Lytechinus pictus: one gene and its partners. The protein of the gene in region 2 purifies or fractionates together with the protein of the main gene of each other region. This does not show direct contact. Links are inferred from orthologs where the notes say so. Each region holds a gene or a part of one and is shown on either strand. Other genes may lie near its edges. The genes, in order: DNA damage-binding protein 2-like, COP9 signalosome complex subunit 4-like, DDB1- and CUL4-associated factor 1-like and denticleless protein homolog.

Region 1 (7,832 bases), on a different chromosome or scaffold from region 2:
TCAAAATACATGAAAACGTAATCAAATTTCGCAAGAGAGTTCATAATTGTATCGTTAGAATGCAGAATCTATTTATAGTGCTATTTGTTTACCATATTAAGTCTAACAGCACTGTCAGTTCTTAAAAATGGCGTAAAAGATAACAAAAACCCAATCTAAAAAATGTGAAATTTCAATAACAAACTACAAAAGGACAATAAATGCTGCACTTTATTCAAAATCCATGTCATTTTCACAAAAATTTGCAAAGTTGTAGAGGAAGGTATACCTAAGAGGTGCAAACATTAAAAAATAGGGGTTCATGTGCTTGTTTTCAACTTATCAGCATTTTCATTAGAGCAAATGTGCTTTTTAAAACACCGAAAATGCGCCAAATGCTTTGTATCTATGAGAAGAAAAAATCAAAACCACTCTACCATATATTCAAACTCGGGGTCATATTCACGATTCTTGGCAGCATTGCAGAGTAAAGTATTTTGAACTTGTAGAGATATTTTTTTAATGGTCCATGGAATAATACCAGTTTTTTAGCTTCATAAGATAACGCATCGGATCTGCAGTTAGAGTGCAGATGATGAAAAAAATCAGCTCATACCCACAGGTAATTAATCACCTGTTCATCCATTGTGACGTCAGCGCGCAGAGTGTAAAATATGCGCAGATCGTAATGCGCACAAACATAACTGTGGAACGTCCTTAAATCCCCCTGTACGTTATACACAATGCCTGTGAACTCACCTTGAGTCACAGAAAATCTGACTCATAGCTGGAATTCGAACTTTGCACTTCCTGATAGAACAGACTGACTGATAAAACATCAGGCTAATCCTTTCATGGAACACTCCCTTGCACCGACTTACCTCATCTGTCTCTCCGAAGACATGCCTTCTCTCCGAGTGTCCCAAGATCACCCACGCTACCCCTAGATCCTGCAGCATAGCCGGAGACGTCTCCGCAGTGAAGGCTCCCTTGGGTACCTTGTAGCAGTTCTGTGCAGCGACACTCACTCCTGTTGGGATCTTGGCATTCATGTACGAGAGGTAGACGGTAGGCGGGGCAACGACAACATCTGTGGGAACGAACAAGGACTAGAATGTAATTTGTGCAACCAATTTATGCAGTACACAGCACACACTTTAAAAAATCATTAATAAAATAACACTTTTGTGACCAAAAATACTAATTTCCATACAATTTATTTTTCATTACTGACTTGGGGATCATTTTTGTATTCACCAGAGCTCTCAAACACTTGAATTTTGGGCATATTTTTGTGTACGCCCACTATTGGTGGAAAGTAATGTGGCAAAAAAATTGTCTTTCAATCTCTATTTTTAATTTAGAAAAAATAAAAGAATCAAATTTAAGTAAGAGCCAAGTTATATTATGATTAGCTAGTGATAGAAACTGACAGTGTAAAAAAAAACAGAGAACAGGGTTATATCATAACCTTGTTCATTGAATGAGTGGTTCTATGGTCATAATAAAAATATTGTTAACGAAAACAAGGTTTATTTTACGTTGATCGCGTCATAAATTTCTGGCTTGATTAAAGCAGTGCGCATGCGCGATCGATGACGATAAATTCCATTCATGAATTCATCGTGCATAAATTATCTCAGCACGAACAGACGAGTAAGACTTGAACTAGGAACAAAATAAACTTCAAATTAATGGCGAATAGGCATTGATAATTACACAATAGGTTTCATTTTTTTAGACATTACTGTTTATTTCAATGATTGTGTGTACCAAACGAAATTGCCGCATTTCTTTCCTTCACACTGTAATTTTTTTTTTTTTTTATCAACGCACCGATTTTACAAAATCTGCACTGGCGCTCGATGACATTGATTGAACACCGATTTTAAAATCGATTCCGACTCAGGCTTAATTACGTAAAATTTGCAAAACTAAAAATAACATGCAAGGCAGTGGCTGATCCAGGGGGGGGCACATCCGACCCATGCCACCCTCCCCTTTTGAGTCGGTCAATATTTTCAATGTAATATGTCATTCATACACAAGTGTGTTTGAGAGTTTCAATAAATATTTGTGATGGGAATATGTCGTTCACACCTGACTTTTTTCTTCAAATTTTACATCCCGTAGCAAAAAATCAATTCCCCCTTCATTAATAGTGTTAACAATTTTTTTTTTTTTTGGCTTATCAAATTTTCCTTGGGAAAATGTGCCCCCATTTTTGGAAATACTGGATCTGCCCCCGATGCAAGGGATGGTAGTTCACCATCAATGTAATCTAAAAAAAGTGTCAACCAAAGGAAATTTGAACCCGAGGAATATTCATGCAAGGAAAGAGACACTCATTTAATGTCTAAACAAGCCGACTAAATTTTTGAGTACAAACAGGGAACTTTGTTCTCTGTTTGTACTCCATGTACTTGTACTTGTATATTTCCTTCCTCCGGTCTTCGGAGATCGGCGGCAAGCCGCAAAGTTCAGGTCCTTTCTTGATGGTGCTGTCGACATAGGTGGATTTTTAAGATGTATCTTAGGCAGTGACATGTCAGAGAGGAAGCAGAGGAGGAGGGCAGAGAGTGTGAGGGAAAGAGGATGGAGGATGCAAGGATGAGGGGGTCATTTCCAATGAAATCATTTAGGATGTGTGCAGGCAAGTCAAGGTTCTCAACATGCTGTAGTAGGTCCAGACGCTGAGTCAAGAGGACTGGACATGAGGCAAGAAAGTGGGTAGTGGTTTCTTCCTCTAGAGAGCAAAGCTTGCAGGTTGGGTCTGTGCTCTTCCCGATGGTGACTAAGCTTCGTTGTGAGGGATAAGTGGACGTAAGCAGCTGAGCGCGTAAAATCACAGCTGATCGAAGATGGGTCGGTAGTGAAGAAGGGTAAAGTGACAATATCTTGGGGAGCATTGAGAGGTTACTCCATAGGCTGAGGGATGAGAATTTCTCAATGCACACTCTGGCTTCTTCCATTTGGCATCATACACTTTACTCCTGCACAGAGTTTTCCAACGGTGGTATGAGAAATCTTCAGATAGGAGAGAGGTGAGTGAGGGAAGGTTGTACTTAGAGAGCAGTTTATTCCAATAGATGATAGTAGGAGTCTTGATGGAGAGGGCATGGAGGAATGAGCAAAATTCAAATCTAATATGGTCAATGTTGAAGAGCTGTCCTATCAGAAGGAAAGTGTTTAGTTCAATCTCGCGGGAGAGGTGAAGTAGGTCAGTTAACAGGAAGATAGAGATATTGGGGGCAGATCTCGGTAGACCCAAGAGTTTCTTGAAAAGGGAGTGTTTGAGTGAGGTTTGAGTGAAACACAGGAGCTGTGAGCCATAGGTCATTCGGGGTAGGCAGAAAGTTTTCCAGAGCTTCGCAAGGGTGTGGGGGAGGAAGAGGTTATTGCTGCTGTTGCTACCGATGATGGCAAAGAGGGTGTTGTATCCCTTGGTGATTATGTGTTGAGTGTGGTCATACGCGATGGTTGATTTGGTGATGCCAAGGTGGGGATGATGAGAGACCTCTCTGATTCTGTCACCGTCAATGAAGAATTGGAAGGATGGGTGGATGCTGCGCTTTGACTTGAAGATGAGGATGGCACTTTTTGAGGGATTGATAGAGTTTTCCCAATGAGTGGCATATTCATCTGTGACATTCAGCATTTGCTGAAGTTCAGTGGGAGAACTTGCAAGAAGGGCAACATCATCAGCAAGGATAATTACACCTGCGTATCTATTCTGGAAGGTGCAGCCAAGCCCCTTGTCCCGGAGAGTCTTGACGAGGCCATCAACGAATACGTTGTACAGCGTGGGAGAGAGTATTCCTCCTTGTCTGACACCCTTGTTTAGTGGGATGAAGGAACTGACAGAACCTTTCCAGGTGACACGGCTTGAAGCACCTTGGTAGAGGGCATTCAAAGTAGAGGATGTGTGCCCATGTGTGCCAAAATAAGGTTGGCAATGTTCTCTTTTCTCTGGAATAATTGCTTGATTGTGTGACACTGTCAGAGTCCATTACAGCTAATCATATTATTATTATAACTTGGCTCTTAAGTAAATTTGATTCTTTTAATTATTTCTTCTAAAATAAAAAGAGATTGAAAAATGAAAAAAGTAAAACATTTTGCATGATAATTGACAAACATGACAAATTGTCTTGATTCTTCTGAAAAATTAAAGCAAACTTTTTTCTATTTCACAAATAGGGGCCTAAATATTGAAAGAAAATGCAACTTCGTTTTGGTGACCAATTCCAAAAAGCATGAAATATACAAGTTACAACCCCCCCCCGACCGACAACATTAATTATCATTACATGGGCATTTTTTACACCATGTTCAGCATTGTCAGTGTCACTGCCAGAGTGCCAGTGCCAGACAGTCAGTGACAGTGGCAATGGCCGTGCCCGCGGCCGCTCAGCGCAGCTCGACAATATATTACCGGTGTTTCCAGGAATCTGTGCTTCTTCCAATATTTTCAAATTTCCATCGATCGACGCCTTGTTTCCATTCATCTTGTGGTTTCCACCAACAAAGAAACGCCTTCCACTTGCCATTTTGTCTTTTGAGATGAAATACAGTCGTACAGGTGAGTAAAAGAGGTGGGTATTCGAAGAGGAACTGCAATCAAGTTCTGTCCTGCATGCACTGTACACCTTGACCTGGATGGAACTCCCAGGTCAGTCTGATTTACTTCCGGTTTTCTTGCACGTACCCATTTGCCGAGTTTGTAAAGACGATAAAAACTTTTAACAATATTTAACACTTTAACTGTAAATGAAATAAACAAATTATTACTTTTTAATATATAAATATTTAATTTATCATAGTGCATCAAAACATTATTGCATATAAAAATTCATTGGAGACAGTTCCACTTCTCGATATGGACCATATCGCGGGAAAAATGTTACGCAAGTCCTATTTTGTAAACATCAAACAGCTGACATGAGCTTATGAAATATAAGCACGTGGACGTACTTCAAATGTACTGCCACCGCACTGAGATGTGTCAGAGGCGAAGCTAGATTTTGATGAAATTTGTGATCCCTGAATCGCTTAAAATGGCACCGTCTATGTCAAGGAAAAAGAAAGATGGATCTAAGGGATGCATTGTGACAACTGTCGGAGATGTCGCGAAACTCCCGAAAGAAAAAGTTTCCAAAACTCGATCCAGATCCAGCAGCAGAGCCAGAAGCAGAACTGTGGTGAGTGGATCGCGGCGCGCGGTGTCGCTCCAGGGAGCCGGGATCGGGAGGGAGAAACAATACGACAACCATGGCATGACTAGCCAGGAGGCTTCTAGAGAGTAAAAATAATTTACTAACGTATGCTTACTCTCAACGAAGCCTGGAATAACATCTTAGGGGATGTTACAGTAAAATATTTGGAATCAGTTGCAAAATTCAGGAGCTAATTTACATTGAATGATGATTGAAGGGATATATCAATTTTGACAAAGTCAAATCAATTTATACTTGTTGTTTGTTGATACAATTACAAAAAGAAGACGTGTACGGTCAATCAATGACAAATATTTGGGCTTAACTGCAGAATACCCCGACACTGCTCACTACCCAATCGTTGGTCAGCCAACACAACGATGTCAAGACCTATAGCTATATACTAATTCAATGGTATATAGCCTAGATATATCCCACTCATGGGATCAATGCATCTCGCGTGCGAAGGATTCATATGCACATGGTGCACGCGAATTTTTCACACCCTTTTTACTAAAATAACTATGCCATTTCTTTTAAAATAATGTTTCTAATTGTGCTATGACACTTACCGAACCATATGGATCGTTTCTTGTCTTCTCTTTGGTGTGTTTTTAAGAAAAAAAAAGCATTTTCTCGTGATCTTCACGTAGATACCGCAGGGTCATTGTGGTTGTAAACTTTTGCTTAAAGAGGGCGCGCGATATTATTCACAAGATGTTTGTTTACGGTTCTGCAGGTTGTACTGCTAGCTGCATTTTAGACGCTCAGCATTATTTTCCTCTTTCTGTTTTTTTTTTTTGCTGTCAAGCGGTATTTTCTATTATTTGTAGCGCCATCAGCGATGATGAAATGTAAAGTCAAGAGTCGCCTTGAAATGAAGAAAAATTATGTCCCATTAATTCGTTAGTTTGTTTCCTATTTTTTTGCACTTTTTTCTTCTTCCTCATCTATGATCAAAGGTGAATACCTTTTTTTGATATCTGTTCTAAAAGCTGGACATTTTAAATATTTTGTTCAAGTAAATAAATCAACAGGATAGTAATCAAAATGCGATAGAGCTGCCCGAGCTGAAAATTCTGATACAAGGACTTGAAAATAAAACATTCTGAGCACTTTTTATAACCATGATGAGGAGACCTATATATATTTTATGGCCTCCTTTTCCCTCTCTCTCCTCTACTTTTCCCCCTCCCCTGATCTGTCTTTTATTGTCTCTCCTTTCCTTTCCCGCCCCCTCCATTCCCTTTCTCCCTTTTTCCTTTCCCTTCTTTTCTTTCCTTTCTCCCTCCCCTACTCTTTTCTCGCTATTTCCATTTTTCTTTCTCTCTCCCTTCCCCTCTTCCTTTCCTTTGTTTTCTTTCTATTTTATGGTCTCCTTTTCCCTCTCTCTCCTCTACCTTTCCCCCTCCCCTTTTCCTTTCCCTTTCCCTCTCCTTTTTTGTGCAAACATTAACACGAATATCTTGCTTCCTACACACACACACAAACGCCCGCAATCTAACACACGTAATGCGAAACAATCGGGACATTATCATTTTGTTCATATATATATATATGTATATTTTCTCAATGAACATTTTCATCTATTTAAAGCTTTGAAAATTATTAAACAATGATTCCATAGGCGAAATCTCAATGATCATTAGGAAGGTACTTTACCCATTTTCATTTTATGTCATTGTGATTATTCCATACTAAGGCAACATATTTTGGATATAAAAATACGTGAAGGATATGTTCCTCTTCTGTTTTATACTTTAACAGAAAACATTTTGTTCAACCAAATTATGATTTGTATTTCCAAGTTCCATGTAATATTTTCATTGGAAAATCTCTTAAAGGTCAAGTGCACCCCAGAAAAAATTGTTTGAATAAATAGAGAACTATGTTGATTTTTGGTACAATTTCCTATTATGCGCCGACGACTTGAATCGAGAATGTTCGATAGGAAAATTTCGCATTTCGATTGTTGTTTGCGTAATTTCCACTGCAGTACGAAGGATGACTAAGGACGGACCGAGCGAAGTATCCTGGTTGAGATTTGGAGGTAAGCGATAAAAACACTTTAATAAATAATTTATAATTCCTTTTTCAAATAAACATAAAAAATACGATCAAGATTAACATAGTGGACAAATATTGAAAGGTTTGGCGTAGTTTAGTCCCTCACATTCGTGTGATGAATGAAAACGTCAAAATGCACTATGAAATCACATGTGTTGTGCGAGGTTAGTATACTAACCTCGCATGTTGTGTGAGTGAGATATATCCATACTATTATATACGTACATGCATTACTGGTACTACTACTACTACTATACTACGTACGTACGTACGTATGACGGTACGTACGAGCAATGCATCCAGGCCATACGTAATGACCTTTGCCCTTTGACTACTACTAGAGCTATAATTAAACATCGTTGGGTGCGCTGCTAGCCAACGACCCACGTTGTGACGGTACGGACGGTGCAATATAATATTCAAAACATCGTTGGCTAACCAACGACCCACGATGTGAAACTGTTATATTATAAAATAAGATTAATACACTCTTTTAAATTACCTACTAGAGCTATATACATCGTTGGGTGCGCCGCTAGCCAACGACCAACGATGTGACGGTGCCATGTA
Region 2 (7,358 bases):
AAAACTTAAGATTTAGAAGGAAAAAGTATTGGGTAGGGATCAGGCCCAGCAGGGCTTTAGCCAGGATTTTAGAATTGGGTGTCCAAGTTTTCAAGCAGGGCGTAAAAAAAATGGGTGAGCAAAATTAGCCATCAATAGGTTCATAGGGCTCCATGTCTGGAAGTTGTAAACGGACATGTCAAAGGGGCAGTACTCATCATTTCCAGTAGATTCCCCCCCCCCAATATTTCTGTTTCTTAATAAACTTCTGGCTTGCCCCCCCTCCACACCCGTGCTTAACCCTTTGAACCCTGGGGGGTACTCGACTAAAAAAGTGGTAGGTATGTGCCGCGGGCGAGACAAAAACCTTTAGAGCGGGCTTATTGTAAAAAGGAGGGTCCTCGGAACAGGCTTCGGAACTATAAATGTTTGTGAAAACGGGGTCCTTGGAACGGGTCGCCAGCATGTGAGTGCGAATGCATCCCTATGGAATGGGCATACGTGCATGCAGCTAGCCCGGCAGCACGGACGCCGGGTGCGCTCGCGCAGAGGCGATGGACGGACAGCGCTCTGCGGCCGCTTTTCACCAAAATTGCAGCACATTGTAGCGGATCAATGCAGCCAGAACACCGTAACGAAAAATATGCTAAGCTTTGGAGCGGATTTCTTTCTTCTTTTCTCTCGATAAGAAGAAAATGCTATGCTTTGGAGCGGCTTTCTTTGATCTTTTTCTCAATAAGATAAAAATGCTATGCCTTGGAACGGAAATTTGAGTGTAAAAATGGGGGTCCCCTCCGCAGCACATACCCACAACGCATTATATACTGAGTGCACCCCCCCCCCCCCCCCCCCCGGTTTGAACCCTGAATTAATTGGGACGATCGTGACCCTCACCCTGAATTATAAACAGATATCAAGCTTATCAAGGAATACATGACATTTGAAATAAATGATTTCATATTGTCATGACTCGAGCCCAGCCATGTCATTGTCACCTTACTCTGCTGATACCCAGCTGATGTTGTTTAGCTTCCCGTACTAACAATAATCTCAAATTCTGTCTCAAAATCACTAATTTGACGGTAGAAAATTCAACAATGAGCACTCATTCAATGAACAAGGTTATGATAGAACCTTGTTCTCTATAACTATTTCCTGTGTGGTGAAGTAAGGTTGGCAAATGTTTGGCTTATTTTCTCATGTTCTTGGGGAAAAATGTTTAGATTTTTTGACACTGTCAGTTTCCATACAACTATTCATCAAAATCAATAACTTGGCTCTTAAAGATCAAGTCCACCCCAGAAAAATGTTGATTTGAATAAGTAGAGAAAAATCAAACTAGCATAGAACAATTTTCTTGCAATTTTACTTTCCACCATGCACCAATAGAGGGTGTACACAAAATATGCCCCAAATTCAAGGTTTTGAGAGCTCTGGTGAATGAAAAAATGATTTCCAAGTTAGTCCAATGAGTAATGTCTTTAGTCCCTTTATTTTACTTTATCATGAAAAATAAATTGCAACTGTAATTTGTATTGTTACTATGGAAATTAGTATTTTGGGTGACCAAAGTCAAAAGTGATATTTTTAATGAAATTTTAAAGTGTGTGCTGTGTACTGCATTGGCATACCATAGATCTACATGAAGATTCCCCACAGGCAGGGGCTGCAGTCAGGGTGACCAGACGTCCCATATTTCCCAGGATCATCCCGTAATTTGCTTTGTCCCGGCGTCCTGACAAACCCTTCCTGGGACGCCTATTTGTCCCGTATTTCAGAATATTGAACAAAATGTAGTTAATACATTTAAAAGTGACGAATTTTCATAAAATAACCAACAGATGACGAAGCAGAGACAACAATCAAATCAATAACTAAACTTTAAAGTTCTGCAGTGATTTTCTTGCTAACCATATACATTGAAAACGAACTGGCCTCCTGCCTGTGTGTGGCAGGCTACTAGCTAGGCAAGTAGGATCGCAGCAGATTCTCAATGGAGCAAACAACGACACAAAATCGGTGGGGAACTTGTATAATTACATTATGGATTCTCAGATTACTGATTTGGAGATGTAATCGGAGGAACAAGTTATTGAGTTTTCATAGCTAGATCTAGGTGTTTCAGCTTTCGTTTTGAGTCTTGTTATGTATGATGCCACGTTTCATCTAATTTTAAGTTGACAATATTTCACTTTGAAATTTTATTCATTTCTAAAACATTTAAGTTTAAAAAAAAACACCAAATATCATTATGATTTTCGATAGATTGGATTGTTTTTGTTTGCTTGAAGTTTGAACTTTTTTCCTCTTTCTTTTCTATCCTTCTTTCATCCTTCTATCCATCCTGCTTGCCCTTTTTTGTTCGATCTATCTTTATTTCCGATCTTTCTTTCCTGATCCTTTCTCTCTCTCTGTTCATTTTTCTTTCCTTCTTTATTCAATTTCCATTTTTATTTCCTTCATTCTTTCTTTCCTTAAACTTTTCTTTATTTGCTTCCTTCTCCTTTCCTCTCCTTTTTCTTTCCGTTCTTTCTCTCCTTCCATTATTTTCTTTTTTCCATTCTCTCCTCCCTTTCTTTCTTTCTTTGTTTGTTTTATCTTTCCTTCTAATTCTTTCCCTTATTCTTTATTTCCCTTCCTACCCTCCTTCCTCCCTTCCTGTTTTTCTTCTTTCTTTGTTTCTTTCTTTCAAAGGAAACATTATTATTTCCTTCATTCTTTTCTTCTCTCTCTCCTTTATTTTGTCTTTCACACATTTATTCATCTTCCCTTCCTTTCTTTTCTTTCTATATTCAATTCAAAGAATGACGGAAACCTTTTTTCTCTCTATTAAAAGTATTATTCTTTAATTCTAACTTTCTTTCATTCTTTTATATTTGTTTCCCTTCATTTTTTCTTTCTTTATTCTCAATTTATCTCTTTTCTTTCGTCTTTTCTTTCTCTTCTTCATTCTTCGTTCACCCACCCTTCCAATTCTTTAATTATATTTTTTCACAAGTCGAATACTGTGTAGCCTTCTTTGTTGATCTTTTTTGTCAATTTTCCCGTATTTCATTTTGTGAAATCTGGTCACCCTGGCTGCAGTGAACAAGTGTGAATGAGAGGATCGAGGAGCCAATGGGCAATGGGTATCCTCATACTGACAAAAGATATAATGCGTGGGACTACACTACAGTATATGCATACAACAAAAATGTTAATCCCACGATCTTCTATGATGAAAGGAGGGATCAATTATACTCATAAAATAACAATTTCCTATTAAAGAAGACAAATCAAACATTGAAAACTATTTTGAATACTCTTAAATGATATTTACTTTTCTGTTAGGTCTTTTGGAGCCCCACCAGCGCTCAAGAGAGTCGATAATTGTTGTTTCATGGAAGCTGCCATGTTGAGCGAGACTGATCAATTTGTGAGAATGTAATAATGTGATGATAAATTACACTTATAAAGAAAAGTTTTCTGCCAATAATAAAATACATTTTTAAAGCAAAATATTTTATTTATATCAAATTTGTGCCTAACTTTATTCTTAGATAACACTTTTTAATATTTATTTATTATGCGAGGTTGTGTGGTAAAAACGTATGCGAAATACGAAGTGTACAATTACAATAGGCCGAATGGAGAGAAGACCATTGATCGGCGCGTGATTTTGAACAAATGGATGGTAACGATGTCCTCGATTAAAGTAGGATTTTCTCATTAACCGTAAGATATTTTTTATCATCAGCTCATTGATATTACATGTATGGAAATGGTTAAATGTACTTTAAAGTTCCAAAGCGATTGGTCTATTATGAATCAGTTTATTTGCAGTTTTATTACGGCCCTGTGATATAAAATTGCTGCATCACTAAATCAATTCGCCACGTAAAAGGTGCTTGGGTGGAGAGCTTCGCTGTGATCGAAGCCGTGACCCCACTCGATCGCGAGGACAATTTTGGCCGTGCTTGTCGGGGCAGTGAGTGTGTCTTGCCTGGTAGTTGACGGCCTCTGCATGGGTTAAACATGGCCTGGCCAGTGTATTGTTGGACACAGACTCTCCATGCTGTAGTCTACCATGGAGGACAATGCTTCATGTATGTTGTTAGACAGCTGGCAACCGTCTGTTTCGAGAAGTTTTTTTTAACATTTTAAATTTTGTTTAATTCTCCTCGTACACACGTCACAAGACGGCTCGTGATTGTGCAGCCGCCATAGAGCCTTTAGAGGGTAAACATAAATAACAATGCAAACTCCTCCCGATAGGGCTCATGGATTTTTGTCTTTATTTCTTAAAAATATACAAAAAGAACTGGACCTAAATAAAGATTAGTATTCCGTTTTGGCCTGAAGTGCACCTAAACGGGGAAAAATAAACTTAAAACTGGGGAAAAATAAAAAAACAGTGACTTACTTTGGCTGTCACGCAACTTCACATCCCTGTTTTATCCGAACTTAAGACATAAACATAAAGTGTATGGCCATCGAGTCCTCTGTACAGATCGAGCTAGAACTTCGGTCTCTGTATTTGGTGAGTGGAGCCAACCAACCAACATACATGTAAATGTAACAGAGACCGAAGCTTTTTTTTTAAGTTTTAGTCTAGTTAGACAGCTGGTAGCCGTCTGTTTCGAGAAGTACTTTTTTAAACATTTTAAATTTTGTTTTAATTCTACACACGTCACCATGATTAATAGACGGTAGCGATTGTGCAGCCGCCATTATTAGGGGGTTAACATAAATAACAATGCAAAAACCCCTGACGGGCTCATGGACCAAAATAAAGATTAGTATTCCGTTTTGGCCTGAAATGCACCAAAACGGGGAAAAAACTTACTCAAAAGGAAAAAAACAGTGACTTTGATAGTCTACTTCGCAAGCTTCGGCTGTCGCGCAACTGCCACTTCGAGCTTCCCTGGTTTTTCCAAACTTAATACATAAACATATGGCCATTGAGTCCCTGTACAGATCGAGTTAGAACTTTGGTCTCTGTAATTGGTGAGTGGAGCCTACAGAGTTCAGCGGAACAACCAACATAACAGAGACCAAAGTTTTGGTCTACAGTACGTATGCATGTATGAATTCCTAGATTTTTTGGTATGAGTTTCCTATGAAAAAAAATGAATTAGAAATTTAGATAATTTAGAGTAAAACTAAGTACCCAAATATTGGACACTTATATTAAGTTAAGCATAGATCTAAATTTAATTGGACCAAAACATCATTGTCCATTGAATCAAATAAAAATCATATGTACATGTAACGTTTGTCATTAGATCTATTTTGTCAGGGTTGGCGATTTTTTTTATAAAAAAAAAATAAATTGATAGGATTTATTTGATTTAAATCAATTTTTTTTTATTCAAATCAGATTTTTTTTTTTTTGACTATTTTCTAAAACAAAGTGGAAATACCAAAAATATAACCCTTACACTGAAATCTTTTTAAAAATCATACATTTCACAACTAAAATTATTATTAACTTTTCTATTTCATAATTAAATCCAGCCAAAATGTAATTTATAAAGAATACATGTATGCAGGTCTGTATAAAGTCATGACGAAGATGCTGTTTCCGCATCCTCTCGTGTCGGGTATTTAGCTCCTACTGACTGGTTTGGTCAAGTTGAGGAACTGCCTTGGTACAGCTAATAAGTTAGTGTTCCTATTCAAATATGAAATGAGGATCAGTTTCTTTGGAAGAATTCCATGACTCAGAGACTCATATTCTTGAAAGAGAAACATTCTTGATTTTCAAACTAAGGACTGAAAATCATGTGTTTAATAAAAAAAACTCCATTTAAAAAACAAATTTAAACCTCCTTTGGTATTTGAGCCATGGTTGGAGCTTTGTTATTGTTTAAATCATTGATTTGCAAAGCTGTGTCTTATTGGGAAAAGTTGCAGGTTTATTTGAATTATTTCTTTTAGTACAATAAACCAGGAGTTGTACATTGTACTTGTACATGTTTCAATGGAAGTGATTTAAATCAATGATTTAACAAAAAAATCATAGTGAAAGTGGAGTAGGGGGCTAAGTGGTAACTGCGATAAAGGATTTATTCATGTTTTGATGATATATTGTTGATAAAAAATTTCTATTTTGAGTAAAAAAAAGTAAAACTGCCACAAATAAAAAAATTGTCAATCATTTGTACATGTTTTAATGGAAGTGATTTAAATCAACGATTTTTTTAAAAAATCATAGTGAAAGTGGAGCAGGGGGCTTTAAACCGCTTATGAAGGAGAATGTTTTGATGATATATAGTTGATAAAATCTTTCTATTTTGAGGAGAAAAAAATAAAACTGCCACAAATAAAAATATTGTCAATCATTTGTACATGTTTGAATGGAAGTGATTTAAATCAATGATTTTTTTTTTAAAATCATAGTGAAAGTGGAGTAGGGGGCTTTAAACCGCTTATGAAGAAGAATGTTTTGATGATTATAAAGTTGATAAAATCTTTCTATTTTTAGTAAAAAAAAAGTAAAACTGCCACAAATAAAAATATTGTCAATCATTTGTACATGTTTCAATGGAAGTGATTTAAAGGTCAAGTCCACCCCAGAAAAATGTTGATTTGAATAAATAGAGAAAAATCAAACTAGCATAACACTGAAAATTTCATCAAAATTGGATGTAAAATAAGAAAGTTATGACATTTTAAAGTTTCTTTTATTTTTCACAAAACATTGATATGCCCAACTCGGTGACATGCAAATGAGACAGTCAATGATGTCCCTCACTCACTATTTCTTTTGTTTTTTATTGTTTGAATAATATAATATTTCATTGTTAACAGATTTGACAATAAGGACCGACTTGACTGAACCATATAGTATTGAAAATTGAAAATTTTACAATGTCATAACTTTCTTATTTTACATCTGATTTTGATGATATTTTTAGTATTGAACAATGCTTATTCCACATGTTCAGGGGGGAATAAATCGTTATTTCACTTGACAATCAGGAGAAAATTAGAATATTTCATATTTCATTCAATAAAATACAAAAGAAATAGTGGGTGGATGATGTCATCAGTCTCCTCATTTGCATACCAATCAGGATGTGCATATAACTGTTTTATGAAATTAAGCAAAATTTTAAAATGTCATAACTTTCTTATTTTACATCCGATTTTGATGAAATTTTTAGTGTTATGTTTGTTGGATTTTTGTCTTTTTATTCAAATCAATATTTTGTTGGGGTGGACTTGTCCTTTAAATCAATGATTTAAAAAAAATCATAGTGAAAGTGAAGAAATATAGGAGCGCCTTGAGCACCTAGCAAGGTGGATACGTGCACTATACAAATCCTATATATTACTTATTATTATTATTGTCAATCATTTGTAATATGTTTCAATGGAAGTGATTTAAATCAATG
Region 3 (7,391 bases), on a different chromosome or scaffold from region 2:
TCAAATCAAACAAATAGGACTGATATGTACAAATCTTTACTTTCCCTGTATAAAAAACAGTATGAATAACCATCATGAACTCTTCAATCATGATGTAAGATAGCAAACAGTGAGTTATTGAATGATATTTTCACTATTTCTCATTTATTTTATCACGATGTTCAATCAAGTGAATAGCTGGAAAGTAATTCCGGCGGCTAGCTCAGCTCTCGCTCAGCGCGCGCTGATTGCAGAATACTAGTACACACAACACCCAGGCATTGAGTGTACTCAGGGAAGCTGGTGTACTGTTATGGTCTGGTATGTCGACTTAGTTCATGGCCGTGCAGCGATCCCCTGGCGTTTTTTCTTCTTTTCTTTTGTCTTTGACTCCACTTTTATATCCTCTGGATCATTTCCACTCATAGCTCAGTTCCACAGAACAATCTTGAACCAAACGTATTATTCTTTCTCGGCCTTCTGAGTTGTTTTCTATATTTAATTACGCTAGGGGTCACCGTCACACATACAAACGCAATTCGCAAGTGAGTTGAAGACAGAGGGATATTATAGTAATTAGTATACGTACATATCTATGGTTGAAGAAAACAAGAAAGGTATGCGGTACGGTAGCTAGCTCGACAGCTAGCTGCGCCGGAGCGGGCGGCCGGTTAGTCCAGATTGGACCTTGTTGTTTGGAAGTGCTTTTTCCCAAAGCTAACATAGAGGGCACATGTCTCCCAATCTCTAATCAGCGCCAATCCACTCATCTTCCCTCCCCAACAAATTTGGAATAATAGTACGGCCACAAATATTTTAATCATTTCCTCTTTGCAAGTTCTATGGCTCGCAGATACAACTTCAACTGCAGTTATTCCATATGAAGGCGTACGTGCATAGTACACAAAGCGGCACTGCCTTGTTTACTACACCGGGACCGAATACCCCCCGGTGACGTCACAGTCAAAGAACACCCGTCTCGGTAGGCATTGCAGGAGCGAACTCAGGGAAAATGGGTAGGGATAAATCGTTCAAATTCACTATTTTGAAAAAAGAAAATGGGGGGTCGAATCACCTCTTAGTGTTTGGGGGGTTGTAAGGTTGCTATTAATGTAAATATCTCAATATTTGGAATCGTCTTCTTAATTCAACTTTAAGAACGACTGGTGAACATTTCATGATGAATATCATTTACCACAAGAAAGATTTTTATAACACAACAACATCTCTTTCATCAAGTGTATGCAGCGTAATGCTAATATTATTTACTAGATTTACCATTGAAATTTGCAAAAGGCCTTGTTTTGTCGCTACGCTCACTCGCATACAAGTAATGGGAATATCCATATTAAGGGGTATGGCACTGGCGTAAGTCTGTGACGTCATGCTATTCAAGTGGGGGGGGGGGGGGGGTGAACAATAGATCACCCCCTTCCCCTGAACAATTTAATTATAGGTTCACCTCACGGATTTACGCCAGTGGATATGGCATGCAGGTAACTCATCTACGGCTGTGCAATGGTAGGTGGGGGAAAAGGCTCGGTCGCAATGCTCCCTCGCACGAATACAAAATTGTACTCTGCATTACACATACAGGTTTAAAGTGCCAATTTATACAATGAGTGACCAATATCTAGCATATGCTTGGGCGCAAAACGCTTCCTCTCATCATGGACATATGAAGAGATGGACATTCATCGCTTAGATAATGAATTCACTAACAGGTGACTGTAAATGTCATCTGAATAACATTCTCTTCATACTATAGCAACCATTGTTTTCATTGTGCAATTTTTGCCACTTTCCTAAAGAACGAGATAGGATACGGTCATACTTAACTATCACAATAGTCTGTAATTACAGGTATGTCTTCTTCATTTATATCATTATTATTTTAATTGAATTAATTATTTATTATTCATTAATTTATTTATCTGTTCATTCATTAATGTGTCATTATGGAATATATTCAACTTGGTGATAATTCATTGATGTGCAAAACAAACTTGGATGTTGTATCTCCTTATATTTTTCAGACGCTTCTGATGAAGTCTCAATTAAAAGACGAAAGCTAAAGCAAATAATGGTGTCCTGCGTCATCTGTTGAGTTGGCCTCGCCTCATCTCATTATGTTTAATATTCACAACTCAACAGCGATTGGTAGAAGTAAACTTATCATCACACACACTATATATATATATATATGCCTATGTGTGAGTGTGTGGGTGAGTCTGTTTGTTTTGTGTGATCGAGCGCCTTTGGAACGTTGGTTCATGATTTTGCCCCCCCCCCCAATCTGAAAAATTGATCGACGCCCCTGTCCCCACTTGTTCTTTTGTATTTTATTATATGAAATTAGGTTTATTCAAAAATTTTCTACCACGAACTAGAACAATTGGATTGACAACTGATTAAAGTGTTTAGTTATGTACTGCCGCAACTTATTTCATCATAATGGAGACACATCATTTACACATGCACGAAAAAATGAAACATTTATGATATCATGTAATAACATAAGAAAAAGGAAAGTGGGGATGTGACATCATTAGCCCACCTAATGAATATTCATGACGATGTGCATATAACTGTTTTCACAAAATATTGATAAACTTTAAAATTCAATAACTTTGTTATTTGTTATCCCGCCGATTTTGATGAAATTTTCACCACTTCGCTTTGTGAATTTTACTCTATTTTTAAATATAAATATTTCAGCCCGGACCATCCCTTTAAGAGATGGCAAAATGGAACGGGAATTTATGGAGGGCCTAGGGGGGGGGGGCAAAAGAAACGGGATATTGGGTAGAATGGATTGAGTGAAAATGCTGACATAAAATCTGAATCGAAAAAAAAAAAAAAAAAATTAAGAACACGACCGGGTTGCCGAGGATGAAAAATAAAGAACGGGAAGAAAGAATCAGATGGCGTATTATGTGCAAAAAATAGCTTGATATTTTCATGCAATAACGGTCGCAATTAATCAGGACAAAAAATTACTGAACTTTGAGAGGTTCCGGAGGTACCGCCCGAGCATTGCCGATGTCCCTAGCCGAGGGATAGACACGCACTTCCAATTAAATAATTAGATTTTTATTTCATAAGGCCATAAATATCCTTACTCGCTTCGCTCGCTCAGGATATTTTTTAATTTTTCCCACATTATACCCAATAATGTACCCCCTCAAAAGGTTTGGTTTATAATGCCACTACGATGAAGTAATGTGGTTTGCAAAACAAATCCCTGATCCGATTGAAAGTGGCCATCTTTCACGATTAAAATGGCTGAATTTGGTAAGGTTTTTGGGGCTCCGTGCATCCGCCCGGCAAGCCCCACCCACATAGCACTGATGTACAAATTAATAAAAGGCTTTAGGGGCTTGTGGCCTAATTGTGGCCCCAAAAGATTCTACGACCAAGAACAAAAAAGAAAAGAAGGAATTAAGGACCGGAAAAGTGGAAGATGTAATGTTTTCATTGGTATATCATGTCAAAATACTTAATTAAGATTGCAACGAAAAGGAACTTTTAAGAAACTTGCCACATGCCCCTTGCTGTGCCCCCTCATTTGTCGCTTTACACTCTTGCATAGAGCTAGCTTCGCACCAACGACCACAACAAAATCCTGTTCACCAGTGGCATATACAGATGGGGGGGGGGGGGGGGGGGCGCCCCAAAAAAGTAATGACAGCAAAAGAAAAAGGGAAGCTCAGAAAGAAAAGGAAAGAATGAAGGTGAAATATGATATCATATATTCTGAATAACGTAATTACTGTCAAAATCTATCACAAATTGAAATTTGATTTTTGATAAACATAACATTTTACCCACTCGCTCTTCGCTCTCTCTCAATTAAAAAAAATATGCGATACATCTAGCCCCTTCAAATTTTTTGGCTCATTTACGCCTTTGATTATGACTGGGAAAATATTTGCTCTTCAAGACGATTTACTTTTCATTTTTTCCCCTTGCAGATTAGTGCTCTTTGGGGGCTCTTAATTTGTTGTGTTGTTTTTTCAACAAAGTAGATTGAAGATTGAGAAACTTGCTTGACTCACCATCCCGGTAAACCCACTTTTTATTGTGTTTGCGCCCCAGGGTTTGTGCCGTGCGTTTTAGGGGTTTTGGTTATAGCAGTTGACAGATTGATCAATCAATTTCGACAGTATACACCGGCCGTATAAGCTTCGATTTCGATATTTCAACAATACGCAACTAACTGCAAGTTTAAGTCCAACATCACTATTACACGTGCGCGTTACCGTATGTGAGACTAGTACTTCGACCTGGCTGAAACTTTACCGAAAAAACATAATATTCTGGATTCGGTATTGTATAATTTCTTTCATTTTCGATAGGTTTTCATTCTATGAGAAATATAGTTAGTAATTATTGATATGTATTGTTGTATTTTTTGCGTGTTTTTCAAGTTATTTCATGGGACTTGCAGCTTGGGAGTGATGCGGATGGTACGGTGTGATCCCAGCTATTTGTATCCGTGTTGTGTTATTTTTGCTTGGTGTGCAACTGCAAAGTGCAAGCTCAAGACTAACCCAGGGGGCTCCCGCCCGCGAAATTATTTTTCCCACCGAGTTCTGGACCGACATATGAATATTCATGACTTGCGTCTTCGGATTGAGAGTACGCATGCGCGTGGACTTGGCCTCGACCAGTGCCGATCGTAAGCATTCACGTTGCTCAGAATGAGTTGGCATCGTCAAATTACTCTTATAGGCTTAGATCTATATATATATATATATATATATATATATCCAATTCTTAAACACTTAATAAACTAGCTGCCATTAATGGCAAGACATATGTGCTAGGGTAGGGCTAGCTTAGGCTAGCGCATTAACTTTACCTCAAATCTGGACCTGTCTAATGCCTAATAGTAATACTAATAGGAATAGCCGACTAATGCCATGGTTAACTTCGAACTTGTTAATTCCGAACTTTACGTTTGATTAGGTTTGGATCAATATTAGCTTATTTGCCATGGTTTAATATGTCTAGTCCGTATACAGAACCAGTCCTAGATCTAAAATAAATATCTTAGTTCTAGTCTAGTCTCTAGATCTAGACTCTGATCTACGCGCTATCAGCATGGAACCACTAGTGTACCAAAGGGGGGGGGGGGCAGACTGCCCCCCTGACGAGTCACAACTGATCCAGGGGACATGCCCCCCCCCCATTGAGAAGCCAAATTAATAATTTGTAATGTCAAAATGCAACGAAAAAAGACGTATGTCCCCTCTTTTGAACGTGAAAATCTTTTTTTTTTCTTGTCAAATTTTTTTCAGCTACGAAATCCTTAATTTTGGGTGAAGACGGGGATCAAGATCACTGACGTTAATTTGTGCCTGACGTTAGAATACGTTCCATGCACGCACTGGTGTACCTAGGATTTTCCAAAAGGGGGGCAATTTTTTTAGAGGGTATTTCGTCCGCGAAAAAATGTGACAAGCCCCCCCCCAAAAAAAAAAAGGGTATTCACCCCAAATTATGGATTTCTTAGCTGAAAAAAAAATTGACAAGCAAAAAAAAAAAAAAAAAGATCTTCACGTTAAAAAAAGGGGACATACGTCTTTTTCATTGCATTTTTACATTACAATTTATTAATATGGCTTCTCAAAGGGGGCACGTCCCCTGAATCAGTTGTGACTCGTCAGAGGGACAGTCTTCCCCCCACCCTTGGTACACTACTGGTTCCATGCTGATACAGCGTAGATCAGAGTCTAGATATAGAGACTAGACTAGAACTATATAAGATATTTTTTTTTTAGATCTAGGACTGGTTTTGTATACGGACTAGACATATTAAACCATGGCAAATAAGCTAATATTTGTCTAAACCTAATTAAACGTGAAGTTCGGAATTAACCAGTTCGAAGTTAACCATGGCATTAGTCGGCTATTCCTATTAGTATTAGGCATTAGACAGGTCCAGATTTGAGGTAAAGTTAATGCGCTAGCCTAAGCTAGCCCTACCCTAGCACATGTCTTGCCATTAATGGCAGCTAGTTTATTAAGTGTTTAAGAATTGGATATATATATATATATATATATAGATCTAAGCCTATAAGAGTAATTTGACGATGCTAATTCATTCTGAGCAACGTGAATGCTTACGATCGGCACTGGTCGAGGCCAAGTCCACGCGCATGCGTACTCTCAATCCGAAGACGCAAGTCATGAATATTCATATGTCGGTCCAGAACTCGGTGGGAAAAATAATTTCGCCTCCCGCCCGCTGCGCGGGCGGGAGCCCAGGAGCTTACCGTGTATTTGACCTTAGTCACCGGACTAGGGTGATTTATGGTCTAAATATTTCTCCAAATGAATTGTGAAAACAGAAAGTATACAATAACCACGATTATATGGATGAAGGTCTAACGAGTGGCAGTTTCCTGACATCTGGGCACAAACTGGAACCTCAAAAAACCGAAAAGTTCTCTCCTTCTAGTTCTACCCCCGTCTCGATCAGCCATTTTTGTTAAAAATCGTAACAAAATGGCCGATCGAGACTGGGGTAGAGGAGAGAACTTTTTTTTTTTTTTGAGGTTCCAGATCCAGTCTGTGCCCAGATGTCAGGAAACTGCCACTCGTTAGACCTTCATCCATATAATCGTGGTAATTGTATACTTTCTGTTTTCACAATTCATTTGGAGAAATATTTAGACCATAATTAAATCACCCTAGTCCGGTGACTATGGTCAAATACACGGTAAGCTCCTGGGCTCCCGCCCGCTGCGCGGGCGGGAGCTTCCTGGGTTAGCTCAAGACAAGTTCACCACTCACTGACACAATAGAGTAAAGTACCCAAATATTGGACACTTAAGCATAATTTGACCAAAACAAAAATACAGTCATTGAATCAAATAAAAATCATATGTATTTCTGTGGTAAAAATGTTGAATATTAATTTCATATTATAGATCATAGAACATTTTCCTAGTGTTACTGTTAGCAGTCTCTAGGCACCATGCCTATCAATTCCTGTGTTAAAAAAGTGAGTGCACGCGAATCAAAAGTTGGACTTAAATTACTAGATATTACCATGGAGCTCCATGACGAAATCTATTTTTAAATTAGACCCTCGATACTACTTATGGAAAATAATGTATAAATAAATAAAATAGTACTCGCCTGGTCTATTCTTGGGGTACTGAAGCCTTTTTGTCCAGAACTTGCTCAACTTTTGCGACTAACCTTGTCGCCATAGGGTTGTGTACATCCTCGTGTAATACTAGTTGTCACGTGACACAGCAATGTCGTTAGGCTGTTTGGCCTGTATTCAAGGCGTTCTTTTCGTTATGATTTTATATTGAAGCAAATTACATCAGGTATAGGCCCCTATCAAGTCAAAATCGAAAGCAGGGATCGAGAGGGGGGGGGGGGTGGAGCCAAAA
Region 4 (8,125 bases), on a different chromosome or scaffold from region 2:
AAGAGACGGGCAAAATAAAGGGTGAATAAAAGAAAGGGTGGGATGAATACTTGTGGGTACTTGTTACTACTAGTGACCATCGAGTTTGAGCAAGAAAGAACGCGGACATCGTGATAACCCTCTAGCTATCTTAAATATTATCATAAATATCGTGAAAGATAAGAAAGAGAAAAGATAAGAACGTTTTCAGAATACCACTTATCTTCATTTTGTTCTTATCTTTTTAGCGCGCTTTTGTATTATATGCGCGAGTAATACATTTACGCGCTCAGCATAGGATGTTTAGCAAGATAAGAAAAAGATAAGAACAAAAGATAAGAAAAAGATAAGAACGTTTTCAGAATACCAATTTCAGATCGTGACGTAGATAAGAACAAAATTAAGATAAGAACGTTTTCAGAATACCGCCCCAGGGCTTTTTCTGGTAGAAAGCGTTCCATTATAAATTTTTAACATATTTTTTTAATTTAAAAAGGACACAAAAAAGAGCAAAATCGCTTACCTCCGCCTGGAAAGTGGCTTCGCACGTCTCTTCCACGGAAATAAAAGGAAGGTCGTTGGTGGCGCTAATACAGTTCGCAACCTTAATTCGGCTTGGTGGTATTTTTAAAACTAGATTCATTATTCATTGTATGCGCAATTCCAATAATTGTTTGATAAAATAGAGACCCCAATAAATGCAATAACTTAAAAAACATACTTTTTTATTATTTTTGCTGACGATAATACTTTTTGGAAAATATTCAAAACGATGACAAATTAAACAAAAAATATAGAAAATTCTATGTACCTTGAACAAAGCCCAGCAAGTGCTACCGTTCGTTTGTCAATTAACGTTCCACCAAAGTCTTTACAGTAAAAAGATTGAACACTTTGCCGACTTCGCGTAACGCTTTGCATCGATTTACGTGTAAGATAATTTCTGTGTCTAGTCTTTCAATTGTAGTGTCTTTGATATGAAGATAAATCGCGCGCCCTCTTTCGCTCATTAGACGAAAAATTTGAGAGCTAGAAAGGTAGCTCTCGTATTTTGTCAACGAGAAGAAAAATCAACGCTTAAATGACGCATTTTGTGTTTGAGGGATATTCATCAAATTATGAGGAATTGACTTCACATCGTTTCGTAAGTTTTGTAGGAGGACTTCATTCTGTAAGTCCTCGTATTAATTTTTCGCAAATTAACGTTATTTGTTGAATGCACCGTGCCTTCAATTATTCTGTAGTCGGCGGCTGAGATGTAGCTGTGTGTGCCTATGGGGATGGGCCAAAATGCTGTATGCAAATCCAGACACATTTTATGGAGCATTTAAGCCTTATGGAACAACTGCAGAATACCCGGACACTGCGTTACCTTATCGTTGGAGAGCCAACGCACAACGATGTACTTAAGCTATCAAATCAGAAAATCAGCTATAATAAATAATTGAATGATTTACAACTTACAAGTATTTTTTGAATAGATTCTAAGTGTTCAGACTGCACTGTAACGCTAACGATGCGAGCGCGCGCGATTAGTATGTAGACCAACAGTGTCCGCGATGCCAACGATGTGTATATTTTCGTAGTACGTGTAGGCCAACACAGTCCGCGATGCTAGCGGTGCGTTGGTGTCCGTAGTACAGGCCAACACTGCCCGCGATGCCAACGATCTATATATATATCTGTGTGCATCTGTAGTATGTAGGCCGACATTGCCCGCGATGCCAACGATGTGTATATTTTCGTAGTACGTGTAGGCCAACACAGTCCGCGATGGTAGCGGTGTGTTGGTGTCTGTAGTCGGTACAGGCCAACACTGCCCTCGATGCCAACGATCTATATCTGTGTTCTGTAGTATGTAGACCAACAGTGTCCGCGATGCCAACGATGTGTATATTTCCGTAGTATGTGTAGACCAACATTGCCCGCGATGCCAACGATGTGTTGGTGTCTGTAGTACAGGCCAACATTGCCCTCGATGCCAACGATGCGATCATATCTGTAGTTGCCTATGTAAACCAACATTGCCCGCCATGGCAACGATGTGTTGGTGTCTGTAGTACATGCCAACAGTGCCCGCGATGCCAACGATGCGATCATATCTGTAGTTTCCTATGTAGACCAACATTGCCCGCGATGCCAACGATGTGTTGGTGTCTGTACTGTAGAGTACAGGCCAACATTGCCCTCGATGCCAACGATGTGAATGTATCTTTAGTAGGTATAGGCCAACAGCGCCCGCGATGCCAACGATGTGTTGGTGCCTGTAGTAGATGCAAACAGTGCCAACGATGCCAACAATGTAAATGTATCTTTAGTACGTATAGGCCAACAGCGCCGGCCAGGATGCCAACGATGTGTTGGTGTCTGTAGTATAGGCCAACCTTGCCCGCGATGCCAACGATGTGAATGTATCTTTTGTATGTATAGGCCAACAGCGCCCGCGATGCCAACGATGTGTTGGTGCCTGTAGTAGATGCCAACAGTGCCAACGATGCCAACAATGTAAATGTATCTTTAGTACGTATAGGCCAACAGCGCCGGCCAGGATGCCAACGATGTGTTGGTGTCTGTAGTACAGGCCAACCTTGCCATCGATGCCAACGATGTGAATGTATCTTTAGTAAGTATAGGCCAACTTTGCCGGCGATGCCAACGATGTGAACGTATGTTTAGTATGTATATACCAACAGCGCCCGCGATGCCAACGATGTGTTGGTGCCTGTAGTAGATGCCAACAGTGCCAACGATGTGAATGTATCTTACATAGGCCAACATTGCCGGCGATGCCAACGATGTGAATATGCCTGTAGTAGAGGCCAACATTGCCGGCGATGCCAACGATGTGAATATGCCTGTAGTAGAGGCCAACATTGCCGGCGATGCCAACGATGTGAATGTATCTTTAGTAAGTATAGGCCAACTTTGCCGGCGATGCCAACGATGTGAATGTATGTTTAGTATGTATATACCAACAGCGCCCGCGATGCCAACGATGTGTTGGTGCCTGTAGTAGATGCCAACAGTGCCAACGATGTGAATGTATCTTACATAGGCCAACATTGCCGGCGATGCCAACGATGTGAATATGCCTGTTGTAGAGGCCAACATTGCCGGCGATGCCAACGATGTGAATATAACCCTAACCCTAACCCTAACCCTAACCCTAACCCTAACCCTAAACCCTAACCCTAACCCTAAACCCTAACCCTAACCCTAACCCTAACCCTAACCCTAACCCTAACCCTAAACCCTAACCCTAACCCTAACCCTAACCCTAACCCTAACCCTAACCCTAATTGAATTCAATTCCCATTGAATTCAATTCCCATTGAATTCCTTCAATGGGAATTAAAACTTTATTTCATATTTTAATGAAGAAAAAATGAAAATATTTCATGTATAAAAAATACAAAAGAAATAGAGAGTGAATGACATCGATCACCTCACTAACCAGGATATGCATATATTAAACTGTTTTGTGAAACCATACTTTGAAACGCTTGCCAACGATGTTTTGAATGTTGCATTGCACGGTCACATCGTTGGTCGTTGGCTAGCGGCGCACCCAACGATGTATAGCAATAGCTAGTAGTAGTAGGTAATTTAAAAGAGTGTATTAATCTTGTACTATTGCACCTTCACATCGTGGGTCGTTGGTTAGCCAACGATGTTTTAAATGTTACATGGCACCGTCACATCGTTGGTCGTTGGCTAGCGGCGCACCCAAGGATGTATATAGCTCTAGTAGGTAATTTAAAAGAGTGTATTAATCTTATTTTATAATATAACAGTTTCACATCGTGGGTCGTTGGTTAGCCAACGATGTTTTGAATATTATATTGCACCGTCCGTACCGTCACAACGTGGGTCGTTGGCTAGCAGCGCACCCAACGATGTTTAATTATAGCTCTAGTAGTAGTCAAAGGGCAAAGGTCATTACGTATGGCCTGGATGCATTGCTCGTACGTACCGTCATACGTACGTACGTACGTAGTATAGTAGTAGTAGTAGTACCAGTAATGCATGTACGTATATAATAGTATGGATATATCTAGGCTATATACCATTGAATTAGTATATAGCTATAGGTCTTGACATCGTTGTGTTGGCTGACCAACGATTGGGTAGTGAGCAGTGTCGGGGTATTCTGCAGTTAAGCCAGCCTTATTTTTCACTATTTACTTAGGAAATTTTATGGTAAGTTTTGAGCAATGTTTTTTTTTTTTTCGTTGTCCTACCTACTGAAATGTATGATGATAAACAAATACTAAATAGAATTCGTTAGCTGGCATTTAAATCAATTTGTAATTGTAATTTGTATACGATTTCATGATATTATTACATCATTTCATAAATTGTCTACTTAAAGTTAAACGGATGAATAAAATATGTTTGCAGGTAATTCATTTAAAATGCGTTTCACATGGCGCATCATAATAAATGTGCGACACGAAAGACGGTTCTTGCAAAGACCCTTACGTGCAATCGGCCCCAGGCCATGGCATATCCACGCCGCTACTCCCGGGCAGCGCGAAGCTAGACTCTTGGACTGGAGAAAGACGGGAGAGCTGAGGCAGCAGTTGTGCTGGACGTGCCTGTGCAGCTGCACAGCCTGCAGCAGGTCGCGGCGGGGGTCGCGGTCGGCAACTAGCGCAAATAGTGCTGCAATTTTGCTCATGCTCACCTTTATCAAGCTCAAGAAGAGCTGAATTTGCATCATGTTCTTGTTCTCCATATCCGACATCAGTACCGAAGTTTGACAAACGAGAAGTTGCACTTGACATGGTATTTCAAGTCTTGAGATATTGTTTGGCGTGTGTAAAATTCTTTTAGAATTTTTAGATTGGCGAATCTACATGTACTTCCGGGTTCAAATCTTTAAGCTCTAGCTAGGCGTTTTGATGTAAAATCGTGCAACAATGTGCATCGCGTATGCTGCTTCGTCCGTGATAGATCTAAAAAGCGTCTGGGTTTTGAAACTATCTTTCGGGAGGCGCGCCAAATTCGATGCATTGCAGATACAACGTAAACAAGTGTGGAAATGAAGTTTTTGTGAAACGAAACTGAAATTCTAAGCTTAGACGCCAACCATTAATTTAGATTTTACTTAAATCTACCAGAAAATCTCCAGCCAGCTGATTTTATCATTTTTTCACAATGTCATCCAGGAATTTGATTACTGCTTATCACCAAGATCGCCGACGCTGGGCTTGGAAATCACAAACAAAGAATATTGGTGAGTTCAACTTTACTTTACTCATTTAGTTTAATGAGAATTTTGAGATAGTATTAGTAATGACGTTCCACACTACCACAGTCAGTTATTGAGTTAACATGAAATTCATGTCATTTTCACAAAATTTTGCGTAGGCCTAGAGTTAATTTTGCACCTTAATACTCCAAATTATGCAAAAATTGACATGGGTTAATGAAATCATGTGCTTGAATTTTCGCTATCGAGCTTTCAAGTTAATCTTTTTGAAAGGTCTTCTTGAGTTGAGAAATGTACGTCATAATTTTTAGACCCCACGCCCACAGGCTAACGTCGAGTTTATTATACCTCTATTACTTTGAAATCCATCAAAATTTTACCAAAATTTACATTATACTTATAGGCCTAGTTTAGAATTATATAGGGGTCCTACTTCTTCTTCCATTAGACTTAGATTACATCCATTGATGTCAATGACCTAGACAGCTGGCAGCCGTCTGTTTCGAGAAGTTATTCAACATTTTTTTATTTTTTAAATTTCTCGTACACAGACGGCTCGCTATCATGTATAACCCAGGGAGCCCAGGGGCTTACCGTGTATTTGACCATACTAACGGGACTAGCGTGATTTATGGTCTAAATATTTCTCCAAATGAATTGTGAAAACAGAAATTATGCACTTACCAAGATTATATGGATGAAGGTATAACGAGTGGCATTTTCCTGACATCGAGGCACAGACTGGAACCTCAAAAAACGAAAAGTTCTCTCCTACCACAGTCTCGATCGGCCATTTTTGTTATGAATCTTAACAAAATGGCCGATCGAGACTGGGGTAGAAGGAGAGAACAGTCCAGTTGGTGTGTTATCTGCCAATTTGAAAAAAGCCTTCCGTGCTAAGCTTAGACAAGCAAGAGCTGCTTGCAGGAATGGTCTTCTGTCAAGAATTGAGGGAGCCGACGAACACAACGACAGACTGTTCTATACACTAGTGAAAGAACGAGGCCCTGGCTCTGATGTGCACCAACTCAACCCTGGAGGTCTCACCTACTCTGGGCCCGATATCATCCAGGGGTGGACTCGGCATTTCCAGGATCTTGCCACCCCATCTGACTTCAGTTCTACACAGGCTCTGAATCCAACACATCCTGAGAATATGGACTCCCTTGCTATACATCATCCACAAGGGCTTGACCATCTCTTCACTTCAAAGGAGCTGTCCTTGGCCATCTCTTCATTAAGGCCTGACAAAGCTAGTGGTCCAGACAACATCTCTCCTGAGCACCTAATGTACACTGGGTGCACCACTAGGATCCTTATCCTCATCATGATGAACTGGATGATATATCTGAAGCACATTCCTCTCAGCCTTAAAGATGGCCTTGTCATTCCTCTCTTCAAAGGTGGGAGCAAGAATCCAACAGACCCAGGAAATTATAGGGGTATCACTCTGAATCCAGTCTTAGGAAAGCTGTTTGAGTTGTTGGTAAAGCCCAAACTTTCCCAACACTTACAAGAACACCAAATTCCAGACCCGTTGCAATTTGGTTTCCAACGAGAGAGGTCCTGTACTCTTACAGGTAAAGCACTTGACCTTCTCATCGAATCGTACAAGTCCCTCAACTAACCTCTGTACATAGCTATGTTGGATGCCCAGAAAGCATTCGACAGGGTCTGGCAAGATGGTCTCCTTTCGAAGATAGCAGCGACTCATCCACCTACAGTGCTGCTGGATACCATTACTGAATTTTACAACAGTTGCTCAAGCAAGGTATTCTGGAAGCATGAAGTTGGTCCCTCCTTTCCTGTTCTCCAAGGAGTAAGGCAGGGGGAGTGCTTTCCCCCATGCTGTACACTCTCTACATCAACGACCTTATTAAGCGTCTGAGGGAGTGTCATCTTGCTGCTCAGTCGGCAACCTATATGTTGGGGTCATAGCCTTCGCGGATGACATTGCACTTCTTAGCAATGAGCCCATGGAACTGCAACAGATGTTGAATGTCACATTTAATTACACCCAGGAGTGGAATTACAAGATCGACCCCTCCAAGAGTGCAATCATTGTGCTTAATCAAGATCTTCAGAACAGTGGCAACTCTTGGCAGATCAATGGTGAACCGATTGCACAGGTCTCCTCACACAAGCACCTTGGCATCGTCAGGACTGACATCTTCAGTATGACTACGCTGCTGATGCGATCACAAAGGGATACAGATCATTTTATGCCCTTGTGGGAACCTCACCACTAGGAGCAAGGGTAGTTCCCCATGTCGCTGCAAAACTGTGGAAAACTTTTTGTGTTACCAGGATGATCTTTGGCTGCTCTAGCATTCCCTTTTCAAGGGCAATGTTGAATCGCCTAGATAAAGCACAGGTTCACCTATTTAAGCGGATTCTGGGTCTACCAACAACATCAGCCGACGAAGCAGTATATCTTCTCACTGACATACATGTAATCCCAATGAGCCTGTTGGTCACCCAGGAAAAGCTCCTACTCCTGGGACAGACCTTGAGCACTGACATGGACAGGATAGAACGAAGGATGCTTCTTCATGGTATCTGTGCCAACACCAAATCCGTACAAGAATGGCGTGCTGCACTTAAACAAAATTCAGCCTTCCCCACTTGATGAACTTGTAAGGAATCCCCCTAGCTACCATCTATGGAAGCGAATGGTTCAGTCGGTAGTGATTCAGGTATCCGGGGCCAGACAGCATAACGCCCTTACCAACAAGACATCCTTGTCCTTCTGGACTAGAACCCCTAAGCCAAAGGCGAAGGATCTGTACCCTGGGCACATTGCCAATCCAAATCTGAGTCAGCCATCACCATCCGTGCTCAGATCTCTTGCCAAGTCTATCTGACCCAAGCCAGGCTCGCCAAGATCGGCAAAGCACCTGATGATTGCTGTCGTCTGTGCATGTCAGCCTG

What was found.
Region 1: the proteins of COP9 signalosome complex subunit 4-like (region 2) and DNA damage-binding protein 2-like purify together in Homo sapiens (affinity purification with mass spectrometry; 7 studies listed by BioGRID and IntAct, counting the BioPlex papers as one, with this or other methods). This does not show direct contact. The link is inferred for Lytechinus pictus from reciprocal best matches to the Homo sapiens genes COPS4 and DDB2.
Region 3: the proteins of COP9 signalosome complex subunit 4-like (region 2) and DDB1- and CUL4-associated factor 1-like purify together in Homo sapiens (affinity purification with mass spectrometry; 4 studies listed by BioGRID, with this or other methods). This does not show direct contact. The link is inferred for Lytechinus pictus from reciprocal best matches to the Homo sapiens genes COPS4 and DCAF1.
Region 4: the proteins of COP9 signalosome complex subunit 4-like (region 2) and denticleless protein homolog purify together in Homo sapiens (affinity purification with mass spectrometry; 3 studies listed by BioGRID). This does not show direct contact. The link is inferred for Lytechinus pictus from reciprocal best matches to the Homo sapiens genes COPS4 and DTL.

Annotation. Positions count from the first base shown.
Region 1 is NC_087258.1:23,627,848-23,635,679, reverse strand, and holds the start of DNA damage-binding protein 2-like, read left to right. Parts: upstream 1-4,659; 5' UTR 4,660-5,006; coding exon 5,007-5,180; intron 5,181-7,832. Other genes in the region: triosephosphate isomerase-like, read right to left, coding at 861-1,069, 2,409-2,526.
Region 2 is NC_087262.1:10,334,995-10,342,352, forward strand, and holds the start of COP9 signalosome complex subunit 4-like, read right to left. Parts: upstream 3,403-7,358; 5' UTR 3,373-3,402; coding exon 3,299-3,372; intron 1-3,298. UniProt on the Homo sapiens protein: Component of the COP9 signalosome complex (CSN), a complex involved in various cellular and developmental processes.
Region 3 is NC_087247.1:55,106,965-55,114,355, forward strand, and holds the start of DDB1- and CUL4-associated factor 1-like, read left to right. Parts: upstream 1-4,245; 5' UTR 4,246-4,307; intron 4,308-7,391. UniProt on the Homo sapiens protein: Acts both as a substrate recognition component of E3 ubiquitin-protein ligase complexes and as an atypical serine/threonine-protein kinase, playing key roles in various processes such as cell cycle, telomerase regulation and histone modification.
Region 4 is NC_087251.1:16,412,721-16,420,845, forward strand, and holds the start of denticleless protein homolog, read left to right. Parts: upstream 1-4,882; 5' UTR 4,883-5,139; coding exon 5,140-5,218; intron 5,219-8,125. UniProt on the Homo sapiens protein: Substrate-specific adapter of a DCX (DDB1-CUL4-X-box) E3 ubiquitin-protein ligase complex required for cell cycle control, DNA damage response and translesion DNA synthesis.